Linked DNA regions of Sus scrofa. The protein of the gene in region 3 purifies or fractionates together with the protein of the main gene of each other region. This does not show direct contact. Links are inferred from orthologs where the notes say so. Each region holds a gene or a part of one and is shown on either strand. Other genes may lie near its edges. The genes, in order: TNRC6A, STUB1 and AGO1.

Evidence for each region.
Region 1: the proteins of AGO1 (region 3) and TNRC6A purify together in Homo sapiens (affinity purification with mass spectrometry; 10 studies listed by BioGRID and IntAct, with this or other methods). This does not show direct contact. The link is inferred for Sus scrofa from reciprocal best matches to the Homo sapiens genes AGO1 and TNRC6A.
Region 2: the proteins of AGO1 (region 3) and STUB1 purify together in Homo sapiens (affinity purification with mass spectrometry; 3 studies listed by BioGRID and IntAct, with this or other methods). This does not show direct contact. The link is inferred for Sus scrofa from reciprocal best matches to the Homo sapiens genes AGO1 and STUB1.

What each region holds. Positions count from the first base shown.
Region 1 is NW_018084874.1:603,576-607,847, reverse strand, and holds part of TNRC6A (trinucleotide repeat-containing gene 6A protein), read left to right. Parts: intron 1-1,328; coding exon 1,329-1,471; intron 1,472-1,868; coding exon 1,869-2,015; intron 2,016-2,182; coding exon 2,183-2,320; intron 2,321-2,792; coding exon 2,793-2,921; intron 2,922-3,333; coding exon 3,334-3,411; intron 3,412-3,668; coding exon 3,669-3,879; intron 3,880-4,272.
Region 2 is NC_010445.4:41,092,262-41,096,633, forward strand, and holds STUB1 (E3 ubiquitin-protein ligase CHIP), read right to left. Parts: upstream 2,921-4,372; 5' UTR 2,801-2,920; coding exon 2,642-2,800; intron 2,150-2,641; coding exon 1,951-2,149; intron 1,863-1,950; coding exon 1,697-1,862; intron 1,360-1,696; exon of another isoform or gene 1,218-1,359; coding exon 1,130-1,217; intron 978-1,129; coding exon 921-977; intron 834-920; coding exon 717-833; intron 640-716; coding exon 514-639; 3' UTR 253-513; downstream 1-252. Other genes in the region: JMJD8 (jmjC domain-containing protein 8), read left to right, coding at 1-45, 126-206; uncharacterized protein LOC100524737, read left to right, coding at 3,109-3,236, 3,309-3,402, 3,559-3,718, 3,898-4,050, 4,170-4,333. UniProt on the Homo sapiens protein: E3 ubiquitin-protein ligase which targets misfolded chaperone substrates towards proteasomal degradation.
Region 3 is NC_010448.4:92,064,985-92,069,256, reverse strand, and holds part of AGO1 (protein argonaute-1), read right to left. Parts: coding exon 4,131-4,272; intron 3,942-4,130; coding exon 3,851-3,941; intron 2,778-3,850; coding exon 2,583-2,777; intron 443-2,582; coding exon 308-442; intron 86-307; exon of another isoform or gene 1-85.

The DNA.
Region 1 (4,272 bases), on a different chromosome or scaffold from region 3:
CTGTTCTGTAAAGAAGTTCATTGTGGCCTTTTTTCAGATTCCACATGTAAATGATAGCATTTGATGTTGGTGTCTCATTGTCTGACGGACGTCACTTAGCATGATCATTTCTAGGTCCATCCATGTTGCTAAAAATGCCGGTATTTTGTTCCTTTTAATGGCTGAGTAATATTCCATTGTGTCTATGTACCACACCTTCTTGATCCACTCCTCTGTCGATGGACATTTAGGTTGTTTCCATGTCTTGGCTATTGCACATAGTGCTGCAGTGAACATCGGAGTACATGTGTCTTTTGGAGTCATGGTTTTCTCTGGATAGAAAATGCCCAGGAGTGGGATTTTGCTGGATCAAATGGTAGTTCTATGTTTAGTTTTCTGAGGCATCTCCATACTGTTTCCCACAGTGGTTGCACCAATGTACAATCCCACCAACAGTGTCATAGGCTTCCTTTTTCTCCACACCCTCCCCAGCACTTAACTGTTTGTGGACTTTTGGATGATGACCATTCTGGCTGGTGTAAGGTGGTGCCTCATAGTGGTTTTGATTTGCATTTCTCTAAGAATGAGTGATGTTGAACATCTTTTCATGTGTGTTTTGGCCATCCGTTTGTGAAAGACTGAGTCCTTGAATGTCCTGTGTACATCCCAGCATTGAGGAAGCACAAAGAAGTGTTCTCAGCTGTGGAGGGAGGAGAACCCAGAATGGGCCTTTGGTAAGGATGTGGAGGCAGAGAGCTGTGCCCACTCTTTAAAGACTTGTCTAAGTAGGATGGTAGCCCGGGAGCTGGCTGTTTCAAGCAAGGATTTTGCAGGACGGAGGGTTTCCATGAGAAGAGGTCATCCTTATTGCAGAGATGTCAGAATGAGGAGAGCAGAGCAAGCCCTGAGAGAGGGGAAGATGTTTCCCATCTGCTGAATGGAGTATGAAAGTAGAGTCATAAGCATTAAATTTGAATGCACATTCAGAATGTGCATGACTGGTATGCTGTAAGCACCTACTAGATGGTGGTTTGTCCTGATTGTGTTTTTGTTATTTGTTTCTGGAAACAACGTTTTTATGATAAAAGTAAGCAGATTAGAGATGACCAAAGATGTCTTATAACCTTCTATTTATGAGTCTCTTTTCAAGTTAACCAGTGCAGTAAAATAACAGTATCTCGTAAACACAACTTGTGGGGAATATAATATTTACTAAATACTAATGCGTTTTTCATGTCTTTGTCAAGGCAGAAGTCATTTCCGTATTTTTCATTACATTGTAAATTTACCTGAAACGGACTAGGTTAATTATCTTTCTACTTGATGACATAGTCTCCTGCATTTATTAGGAATGTTACAAGACAAACGAATGGAGATAGATAAACATAGCCTAAATATTGGTGATTACAATCGAACGGTCGGGAAAGGCCCTGGTTCTCGGCCTCAGATTTCCAAAGAGTCTTCCATGGAACGCAGTCCTTATTTTGATAAGGTAAATTATTTGTTTGTTTTTTGTTTGTTTTACCCCTGTGGCTAAGAAAGGAATACTCTTAATAGCATGATTTTTTCATTAATATTTTAGAACATTTAATACAATGGAAAACGTTATAGTCCAGTGCCAGCTCCTACTACTGGATTCGTAGTTCTTTGTCCTTTTATGTCTCAATTGAGCCTAGGGATTGTGTTTATATTTTCCTCTTAATCCCATAAAATATGTTTGGTTCTTTTTATGTACTCTAGAATTAACACTAATCTGATCTCTTCTGTTTTCTACCTGTTTCCTGTTGATGCTGGAATGTCATGTGACTTCTCTTCTGTTCCTGCAATGATTTCTCCCTTCCACTTGTTTGCTTGGCTGGTGTTGCACATCTTTCTGTCTGTCCAATCAGGATGGCATTGTAGCAGATGAATCCCAAAACATGCAGTTTATGTCCAGTCAAAGCATGAAGCTTCCCCCTTCAAATAGTGCACTACCTAACCAGGCCCTTGGCTCCATAGCAGGGCTGGGTATGCAAAACTTGAATTCTGTTAGACAGGTAAGTCCACGTGTGTATTTTAGGCTCTCTGTTGAATGATTTGTAGAAGTAATAAGATCTCTCTTACATGTAGTTGCTGTGTTTAAGTCAATATTACAGTGTGCTAAAGAAGTGTTTGTCCTTGAAGAATCCCAGTGTTATGTGGTGGTTGTTGTTGGTTTTCGTAGAATGGCAATCCCAGTATGTTTGGTGTTGGAAACACAGCAGCACAACCCCGGGGCATGCAGCAGCCTCCAGCACAACCTCTCAGTTCATCTCAGCCTAATCTCCGTGCTCAAGTGCCTCCTCCATTACTCTCCCCTCAGGTAAAAAAGAAACGTCCACTGTATTCTTTTCTGTTTACTTGGTGGAGAACTTTGAAGAAGTTTATATTTGAATGAGACCACTGGGTTGATCAACGTAGTATTGGTTGGAAACTTTGAGATACACCTGATCCTGAATGAGTTATTATTACAACAGGATGGAGGTAGGGTGCAGAAAATTTACCAAAGATAATTTAAATCTCAGATGTATTCTTTTCATACAGAGAGGAGGAAGAAGATAATAGCAAAGTAAATTGACCGGCTTAAGATTCATTTCTGCTATGTTTCACTTAAGCTCATGAAAATACATGTGAACAATAAATTAGTGAAGTCAAGAATAACAATTAGAAAGAACACAACCCCCATAATAGTTGACAAATTTCATTGGTCTCTTGATAGTTTAAAATACTCAGTATACATTCTGTTGGCTCGATTTATTTTATCAACATTATTAACTTACCGTTGTGATCCCAAGGTTCCAGTTTCATTGCTGAAGTATGCACCAAACAACGGTGGCCTGAATCCGCTCTTTGGCCCTCAACAGGTAGCCATGCTGAACCAGCTATCCCAACTAAACCAGCTTTCTCAGATCTCCCAGTTACAGGTATACATTTATTGAATGTCTTCTGTCTGCTCAACACTAGAATCTGTGCGGGAGCTGTTGCGCTAAACAAAGCGGGCACAGTCGTGGCCCGCAGTCTGTGAGTGGAGACCGTGAACTCAAAGGGCGGGGTGCTGAGTGAGCAAGCCCGGCCAAGGCTGGGGTGGTGGTGGGGGTGGGATGACTAGGAAAACCTGCCCTGATGAAGTGGAAGTTTAGATTGAGCAGAGGACTGAATTCACCAGCGTGGCTGGAGGCCGGAGGGTCCAAACAAGAGATCGTATTAGATGAGGCAGGATATGCTGGCATTGACGAGATGGCGCCATGCCTTTGTAGGTACCTCTGCCACAGCCACTCGGAAACTAACTAGTCTGATGATGGGATACTGACTGACCTTTTTAAATCTTCCCCCCAGCGATTGTTAGCGCAGCAGCAAAGGGCGCAGAATCAGAGAAGCGTGCCTTCTGGGAACCGGCAGCAGCAAGACCAGCAGGTAGATCTGATCCTTCCCCGTGCTTCACTTACACTCAGCTGAGGTCACTTCCATGGTAACAAGAGATTTGAAGTACTTCTATTAAAATATGAAAAATACTCTTCAGTGAGTCTTCTGTCTGCCCCAAGGTCTTCATTGGTGTACAGTGATTATTCACCTTCCTCCTGAGAAGGAAGTGAATTCAAAAATGAAGAGGAATTCGAGTGTCTGTAAAGGCTTTTCTCCACAAATTTTCCCAATCATCTTGTCGTTTCAAGGGTCGACCTCTTAGTGTGCAGCAGCAGATGATGCAACAGTCTCGTCAACTTGATCCAAACCTGTTGGTGAAGCAGCAGACTCCACCATCTCAGCAGCAGTCACTCCATCAGCCAGCCATGAAGTCTTTCCTTGAAAATGTCATGCCCCACACTACACCTGAGCTGCAAAAAGGGCCATCACCAATAAATGCTTTCAGCAACTTCCCTATAGGTGGGTTTCTCCATGGCCAGAGCATCTGGCTGGTGCTTGGCCATCACAGGTCTACATGCTGCTCTCTTACCTGTCCAGGGCTGTTCTTTACCTGCTCCCTCTCTGCTGTCTTTGTGCTTCAGGAAGACCAGTCTCTGTTCAAGAAAATCACGCTATTTCAAAAATTCCATGCTCATTCGAAGTGGGTTAGAATAAAGATGTTATTTCTTTCCAAGGCTCAGATATCTTCATTGTAGCGTATGAAGAGGACAGGAGGGCTAAAATGACGTTACTGTTCCAGTCACATCTGAGTTTCCCTTATTTGTTTAAATATTTATTTATAAATGATCACCGGCATGAGTGTAGAAAATACAGATAAGACAAGGGATTGCATTTGCAGTGACTTGCCCCCCT
Region 2 (4,372 bases), on a different chromosome or scaffold from region 3:
GCACCATCTGCACGGCCCCTGGAATGCACCATCCAGGCCGGTGAGGTCAGTGGTTGGCAGGCAGGGGCTGGGCCGGGCCAAGGGCCTGCAACCAATCCCTGTGCCTTTCTCACCCCATCCACTAGGTGCTGTATTTCCCTGACCGATGGTGGCACGCCACACTCAACCTTGACATCAGCGTCTTCATCTCTACGTTCCTCAGCTAACCCAGGGGGTGGCTGGTAAGCCGTTGCACACCAGCACACGCCCCCATAGTGCTCACAGATTTTATTACAGGGACAGTGGTGGCAGCAGCAACCTCGGCCTGGCCCACCCTCACCTGCCGCTTCTGGCACAGGAGGATGGGGGAGCCTCATGGCCCAGCAGAACTGGTGGGGCTGGGGCTGGGGATACCAGGGTGGGGATCCAGGGACACGAACTATGTACAGAGGCTAGGGGCTGCTGCCCCAAGGCCCTCCCAAGAAGCCAGGATACTGGGCAGGGTGGGTGAGGGGCCCACCCACTTGCCCTGCCTCAGTAGTCCTCCACCCAGCCATTCTCCGAGATGAACGCATCAATGACCTCCTTCATGGCCAGGTTGGGGATGAGCTGTTCCTGGGTCAGGGGGCTCCGAGTCACAGGGTCAAAGTGGCCCACGCGCTGCAGTGGCAACAGGATCAGAATGAGAAGATGCCCAGTGGGTGTGGGCCCTGCCCCCAGCGGCTACGGACCCTTACCTGCAGGTGCTCCTCAATGTCCTTGCGGTCATAGGTGATGCCACTGGGCGTGATGCACGGCTCCCGCATCAGCTCGAAGCTGATCTTGCCACACAGGTAGTCAGGGATGTCTCGCTTCTGCAGCACCCAAGCTCAGGTCAGGAGCGGGAAGGGGCACTGCCCTGGCTCCTGCTACCCACAGGGCCCAGGGAACAGGCAGCTTACCTTTCTCTTCTCATCCACCTGGGAGAAGAGCTCATCCATGTCTGCCAAGTACTTATCCTACAAAAAACCAGGCAGCTCCAGAGAAGCTTGAGCCCCTGTCGCCTTTCCCCAGGCACCCCGCCCACAAAGACCCAACAGGAGCCAGGGTCACCTCACATCACACACGTGCAAATACACACAGGACCCACACGTGGGCAGGGCACCCTCACATGCTTGGCCTCGATGCAGGCCTGCTGGGCCCGGATGTGGCCGTCATCCTCTTCACCCTCGTGGTTCCGCTGACACTCTTCCAGCTCCCTGGGGTGGACCACACAGCTGATCAGAGATGGGTCTGGCCAGAGGAGATCAGACTCCACCTTGGGCCGATTCAGGCCCTGTTCCCTCATCTCCTGCTTTCCCAGGCTGGTCCTCAATAAACGCTTATGTTCACGACTCAGAATGGTGACTTTTGCGAGTTCCCGTCATGGCTCAGTGGTTAATGAATCCGACTAGGAACCATGAGATTGCAGGTTTGAACCTCGGCCTTGCTCAGTGGGTTAACGATCCGACGTTGTCAAGAACTGGTGTAGGTCGCAGACAACGGCTCGGATCCCGCATTGCTGTGGCTCTGGCGTAGGCCGGCGGCTAGAGCTCCGATTGGACCCCTAGCCTGGGAACCTTCACATGATACAGGAGGGGCCCTAGAAATGGCGAAAAGACACGAAAACAAAAAAACAAGGAAAAAAAGAATGGTGACTTTGGGAGGTGGGGTGGAGCCCATGAACACCACAGCCCACCTCTCACGCTCAGCCACAATGAGTCGAGTGAGGTAAGAGTGCAGCTCGTTCTCCTGGTGGATGCGCCGCTCCTCGATGCTGTTCCAGCGTTTCTTCTTGGCAATGCGCAAAGCACTGGGGATGTCATCCCCAAAATTGAGCCGCTGCTCCTTGGCCAGGTTGTAGGCTGGGGGAACAAAGGATCCGGGTAACCCTCGAGCCAGTCCCCCCGCCTGGTCCCAGGCACCCTGGAACAGGCCAGCCAGCAAGCCCACCTCGCTGCAGGTTGGCAATAGCCTCATCATAGCTCTCCATCTCCAACTGGCACTGCCCCAGGAAGAAGTGTGCTTTCACAGACTGGCTGTCCAGTTCCAGGGCGCGCCGGCAGTCAGCCAGGGCTTGCTCGTGCTGCTGCATCTTCAGGTAGCACAGTGCCCGGTTGGTGTAATACACTGCCACCAAGGGATTCCGGGTCTGGGGACCAAGGCCGGACCAGCCAACATGAGGGAGTGAGTTCAGCCTGCCCTTTCTGTCCTAGCTTGAGACCCACGGCTGGAATCAAGACACTAGAGGTTTCTCAGCACCCAGGTCTCTGGGCGCGGAGGAAGGGTGGAGCCTACCTGAGCCCGCCCCCTCGACTCCAACGAGTCTTGCGAAGACAGGTTTCCCAGACTCCTGAAAATCCCCAGCTTTGGGCTTGGACCCCCAGCCCAGTGGGCTGCAAGCACCCTGAAGCTCCCACCCGCCACAGTTCTCTGACCACCAACCCTGGCTCGGGAGCCGTAGCCTTGGCCTCTCTGAGAGAAGATCACTCAGTCCTCAGAGCCGAAGTGCATCCCCTCCGAAAGTCCGGTAGGGGCGGCCAGACAGGGGCTCCGGGGAGGACGCGGGGCCGAAGCCGCGGCCCGGCCCGGCCCCTCCTCCGGCCCCGACGCCTGCCCCCTCCCGCGGCCCGGGCGCACTCACGATGGCGCGGCCGTAGCAGGCCGCCGCCTCCGGGTACTTGCGGCCCACGAAGAGCCGGTTGCCCTGCTCCTTTAGCTCCTGCGCGCTCGGGCTCTTCTCCGGGCTGCCGCCGCCGGCGCCCAGCCGCGCGCCGCTCTCCTTCTCCTCCTTGCCCTTCATGGCGCCGCGCGGCACGGCCTGGGCTCCGCTCCCAGGCTCCGCGCCCGGCCCGCCCAGCGCCCGCACCCCGAGCCCGCGATCCGCTCGGGCCCAGTCCTGCGCTCTGCCACCGGAACTTCCGGCCGTGCGGTTGGGCGGGGCCTCGCGTGCCCCCAACGCGCCGCGGGGGCGGGGTTGGCAGGGAGCGTGCGCTCGCGGCGACTCGACGCGCGGCGTCGGCAACCTGAGGAGAGCCGAGGTCGTCGGGGCGGAAGCCCACCCCGGCGCCCCGGCGCCCCGCCCCCGAAGCCCTGCCCCGGCGCGTGGACATGGCGGCGGCCCGCGGCCTTTGGGGCTGTGAGGACCCGAGCCTCTGGGCCGCCGTCCTGGGCCGCCACGGGGAAGTGCTCCGAGCGCGCGCGGGCCCCCAGGGGCGGCTGGAAGCCCTGGACCGATGGTAGGGTGATAGGGGCATCGGGTGGGCGGGGGACCCCCGTGGCCCGGAGTCGCCGTCACAGCTCTTCTCCAGGTATCGAGAGGCGTTGCCCGCAGCCATCGAGGGCCGGGAGGAGAAGCACGTGACTCGAGAAGAGCTGGGGCAGCTGCTGGCTTGGAAGCTGGCTGTGAGGAACTTCCCACTTGGGGGGCGGGGCCTCCTTCCGGGGCGGGGCGTAGCGGTGTGGGCGTGGGCGTGGCTCGCCCGGGGGCGGGCCCTCGCGCTGTGGGGCGGGGCCCCTAGCGAGGTCCAGCACCCGTGACCCCCACCCCGACTTGACCAGCGGGGCCGCTTCAGGCCGCGCCTGCATCAGCTCGTCAGCGCCAACGCCCCGGAGTTGGTGGTGCAGCACTCGGCTGCCGCCTTCCCCCTCCTGCCAGACATGCACGCCGCGGTCACGGAATTACGCGCCCTGCGGGGCGTGGGCCCGGCCACGGCCTCGGGTTAGTCGGGAGAGCCTGGCGCCCTGGCAGGGTCGCGGGCGGAACCTGGTCTGTTAGTACATTTGCCTGGGACATCGCCTGATGGCCACGTTCATGACACCAAGAGCTGTTGCGAATGGCAGCCCCGAAGGTGTCTTGAGGCTGGTGGGGCCTGAGTGTTGGCTGTTTGCTGCCCATAGCGGTCTTGGCTGCCGGAGCTCCCGAGGTGGCAGCTTTCATGTCTGAGGAGGCAGTGGCCGCGGTGCCCGGTCTGCCAGCCCTGCAGTACACCCTCAAGCACTACCTGCTGTACCTGAGCCGGGTGCAGGAGCGAGCCACAGCTCTGAGCCATGGTGAGGAGACTGCTGGCAGCGAGGGAGGGCATTCAGGACTCTGGTCAGGGTGGAGGGTGCAGAGCTTCCCAGCAGAGCAGGGTGACCTGGGCCCCAGACTCCCTGTTGCCCCTCCTTAGGCAGTGCCTCAGGGCTGTGGACCCCGCATCGTGTGGAGACAGCCCTGTGGACCTGGGCTATAGGGCAGAAGCTGTGCCCTGACCTGCTGCCCGACCTCGGTCCCAGCCCAGCCGCCCCCGAGGACTCCAGGCCAGCCAAGAAGCGCCGGACCCAGACCGACTGATTTGGCTGTGGCCCAGATCCTGCTCACCTGCTCTGTGAC
Region 3 (4,272 bases):
GGCACATAGGAGAAGTTCAATAAATGGCAGTTCCCTTTCCCTTCTCTGGGAGCTGGTCTATATATGGGGTCTATAGGCCAGGGAGCTAGGAGGAGGGAGATGAAGTATAAGGGAAGGAGGGGAGAAGGGGGAAACAAAGGGAAGCAAGTGGCAGAGGAAGGACCACAAGAGCTAAGGGGAAGAAAGGGGCCAGGGAGGAAGGACAGGCCAAGGACTAAATTCTCAGATTTTATTTCAAGGGCTTCTTCCTTATTAGAGAAGGGAGACAAGTCGAGGGTATGGGTGGCTTCCTCAATCCCTCACTCACTCGCTCATTCTTGTCAGCACAAAAAAGGCGGGTATGATGGCGTTTCTGCACCACAATATAAGTGATCCCAGGCTGGTAGTCCTTTTCCAGTTTGATGCAGGCATCACGAATGGCCAGCAGCTCATAGTGGAGGATCTAGGCACAGGGTGAGGAGGGAGACAAAGAGACATAGAGCTCCTCTTGAGTTTACACATCTTTCTATGGGGTTGTAATATGGCTTTTTGTTCAGACTCCCTTTATAAGCTGACACCCAACCATTAGACATGACGAGCCCTTCCTGCCAAAATTAGCCTTATACAGGCATACCCTGGAGATGTTGTGGGTTCAGTTCCAGACCACTATAAAAATTTTTTGGTTTCTCAGTGGATATCAAAATTACATTAATATTATACTAGAGTCTATTTAAGTGTGCAGTAGCATTATGTCCAAAAAAAACTCCAATGTACATACCTTAATTAAAAATAACTTTATGGCTAAAACATGCTAACCATCACCTGAGCCTTCAGTGAATCTTAATAGTAATACCAAAGATCACTGATCACAGACCACCATAACAAATAAAATAATAATAAAAAGTTTGAAATATTCAAGAATTATCAAAATGTGACACAGAAACATGAAGTGAGCTATTGGAAAAACAGTGCTGATAGACTTGCTGGATGCAAGGCTGCCACAAACCTTCTATTTGTAAAAAATATGCAATATCAGTGAAGCATAATGAAGCGAAGCACAATAAGGTATGCCTGTAGACAGTTCACCTGACATGTTCCTATAAAACCTTAGCTTGGAGGCTTAGTATCAACAGAGAACACTACCTGGTTCCTATGCATAATGAAACCTAACATCAAGACACAGAACCAAGATTTACAGAGAAATCATAATGCCCACAGAAAGGTCAATTTCAGAATCAAGAGGAAAATGTGAGTTGCTCATGAGCTCTAAAAGCATACAGCATTGGGACCACCATAGAGGAGCAAATACACAGTTCAGAAATAGGTATAGAGGGATTAGATGAACTCAGTTCTACAAAAAAGCAGTATTATAAGAAGAGGGACTAGCTACCACAGGTGAAAAACCATAGGTAGGCAGTAGCTGCCTTGTGGCCTTGGATGTCAGATACAGGGAGTAAAAACTGTATGGCTAAAGTTAATAATATTTGGAATCAATTAGAACTAGGTTTAAACCCAAACTTTATCTACTTGTATTGCCTCAACCAAGTTACTTAACCCTTTTAAGTCTCATTTTCTCCATATCAACTATAGTTATCAATAAGCTCAGCCTCACAAAGCTGTTGTGAAGACTAAAATAAATTATTAAGAGAAAGCATTAAAAAACCTAGTATGGGCTTAATAACTGTGATTGCTTTTCTAAGTAGTTTGAATTTTAACCCCAGGCTATATGAAGTCACTAGACATTTATGAACACAGACGTATTATGATAAATTTCTCTGGTATTTTAGGAAATACTGGATAACTTTGAGGAAATTTAGCATAGTGTCAAGACCATAGACTTTGGAATCAGACTAATTTGTCTGAATCCCAGTTCCACCACTTATTACCCTGAGTGACACCGAAGAAATCATTTAACATTTTCAAGCCTCAGTTTCCTCATTTATCAAATGGAATAGTAATTATTATTATTATTTCATAGGGCTATTGTAGGCATTAAATAGAACACATACAAAATGCTTAGCACAGTTCATGGCACATAAGAGATACCCAATAAATGATAGTTATATTACTATTTATTAAATAGTAGTCAAGGAGACCACTTCAGAATAGTAGCTACACAACAGAAGGGAGAAAGGATTGGAGGAACATTGTGAAGGAAGGTCAACAGCACTGACCTTCAGCAATGTGGCCTGCAGACCAGCAGCATCACCCAGGAACTTGTCAGAACTACAAATTCTAGGGTCCTATCTTAGACTCACTGAATCAGAAACTAAGGATAGAGCCCTACAGTCTATTTTAATAAGCCCTTCAAAAGATTTTGATGGATGCCAAAGTTGAGAACCACTGGTCTGAAGAATCAGTCTTCAACATGAACTAGTAAAAAGGCACTGAGGAGGGTCTTCTACTACAAGAAAGGTCTATCGGTGATTGTACACACCATCTCTCAGTTGTCATGTCTGCTTCCAAGTCTATTCCACTTAATCTCCCTCCCTAAGTAGCAGTACCTCCCAGTACCAAAAGCTTAGAAAAGGCAGCAGTACTCTACTACCATCTGGCCCCCTGGCCTCAATGTGAAGGTTTCCTTTTCCTATTGTGGGCCCTACCTGGGGGAGCTGGCCTTCAGGAACCCCATCTCGGTAGAAGATGATGCGGGTAGGCTTGAAGCGGGTGGACTTGTAGAACTGGATGAGCAGCTCACGTACCATGTAGGATAAATCTTCAATGATCTCCTGCCGCGGTCGCTGCACCCGCACAGTAGCACAGTAACGGCTGGGGTGGGCATCCATACTACCTACGACCTGATAATCAAAGGGACAGGATCAGCTCCTAGAACCTCCACCCTCCCAGCATGTTAGATTGTGGGTTTGGGAAAAGGCTTCTTATTAAGAAAACTATGCAATCAAATGAGTGGGTTTTTCTGCATTCAATAATCCCTGGTTTCAACATCTATACTATCACAAATATGGAAATTACTTACTTTGATCTTCTTGTTCTCCTCTCAAATGGAGTTAAGAATACTACTTACTTGCAGTGCTGTTGTGGTATACAGAAGGCACCTTATACAGGGCCTATCCCATAATAGGTACTCGATAAGTCTGATTTTCCTACCCCTTGTAGAGGCATGTGAAGCTTTGGCACTACTAACTCAAAGAGTGAGCTCATCGAAACACAAGTTTTAATTCAAGTGCTAATCTACCCTAGGAACCATAGTGAAAAGGCTTCTTGAGGGTGGTGCAAACATTAATATTATTTTCTAAGGGGACAGTGGCCACAGCCCAGGATGAATGGCCACAAGGAAAGTAAAGGTAAGCAAAGTATAGGGTTACCCTGCATTTACTGAGATAGGCCCAGTCTGCCTAGAGAAACATGAGGAAAGAGAAGTAAAAAGAAGGCCTGGGCCCTTTAGCAATTCAGAAGCTCCTATGAGACAGCAAGCAAAGAAGTCAGGAGAGCAAATGGAGAGTTATCTAATCTACTAAATGGATCAGGGGTAGGGATGGGGAAGAGTAAAGGACAATCCCAACAACCAAATAACTCCCTTAAAAGGGATTCCAGAGAAGAGATATGGTAGTAGCCATATCCCAAAAGTGGGCACAGAGAGAAGGAAACTCAAACACAGAAAAGAGTGACAGAGATGAGGCCAAGTCATTGGCCACAGGCTACACTCTCACTGCTCTCTTTGAAAAGAAGACATCAAACAGAGTTAGTTTTATTAAGTTACCAAAGGAGTGGTTAATGGAAATGATGAGCTGAAATACAAAGATCTTGTGAAGGCTCAAGTGCCAGAGCTGAGGGAAGGAAATCATGTGTAGTCCTGGGGGCTCAGAGCAAAGAGGAGAAGCTTATGAGGAAGTTGAAAAGTATCACTCACTGCTGTGATAGAAGGCTTTTTCCCGTCCCCTGCCGGGGGGTGTGTAACATCCGCTCCCAGGAATATCACTGGTTGTTGAAAGACGGCAGAACTAAACAAGAAAGAGAAAATGAATGGTGAGGAGTTGGGTCTTCTCTTCCTGGCACCATTTAGCACCCACACCGGTTCTCTCTCCCTTGTGTCTGATTCACTGTGCCTAGACAGGGTCCTATCTTTTCATCAATCCCCCAGTATGAGACCTTGCTTATTAACAAGGGCAAGTGGGCTATGGAGTTCATACCGCTGGTGTGGGACTAGGATGTTGTTGATGCCACCAAGTTTGACATTGATCTTCAGGCAGAGGTTGGACAGAGTCTGAGGTGAGGTCTTCACCACATTCTTCACTTGCACACACTGTGTAGCCATTCCCAAGAGTGTATCTC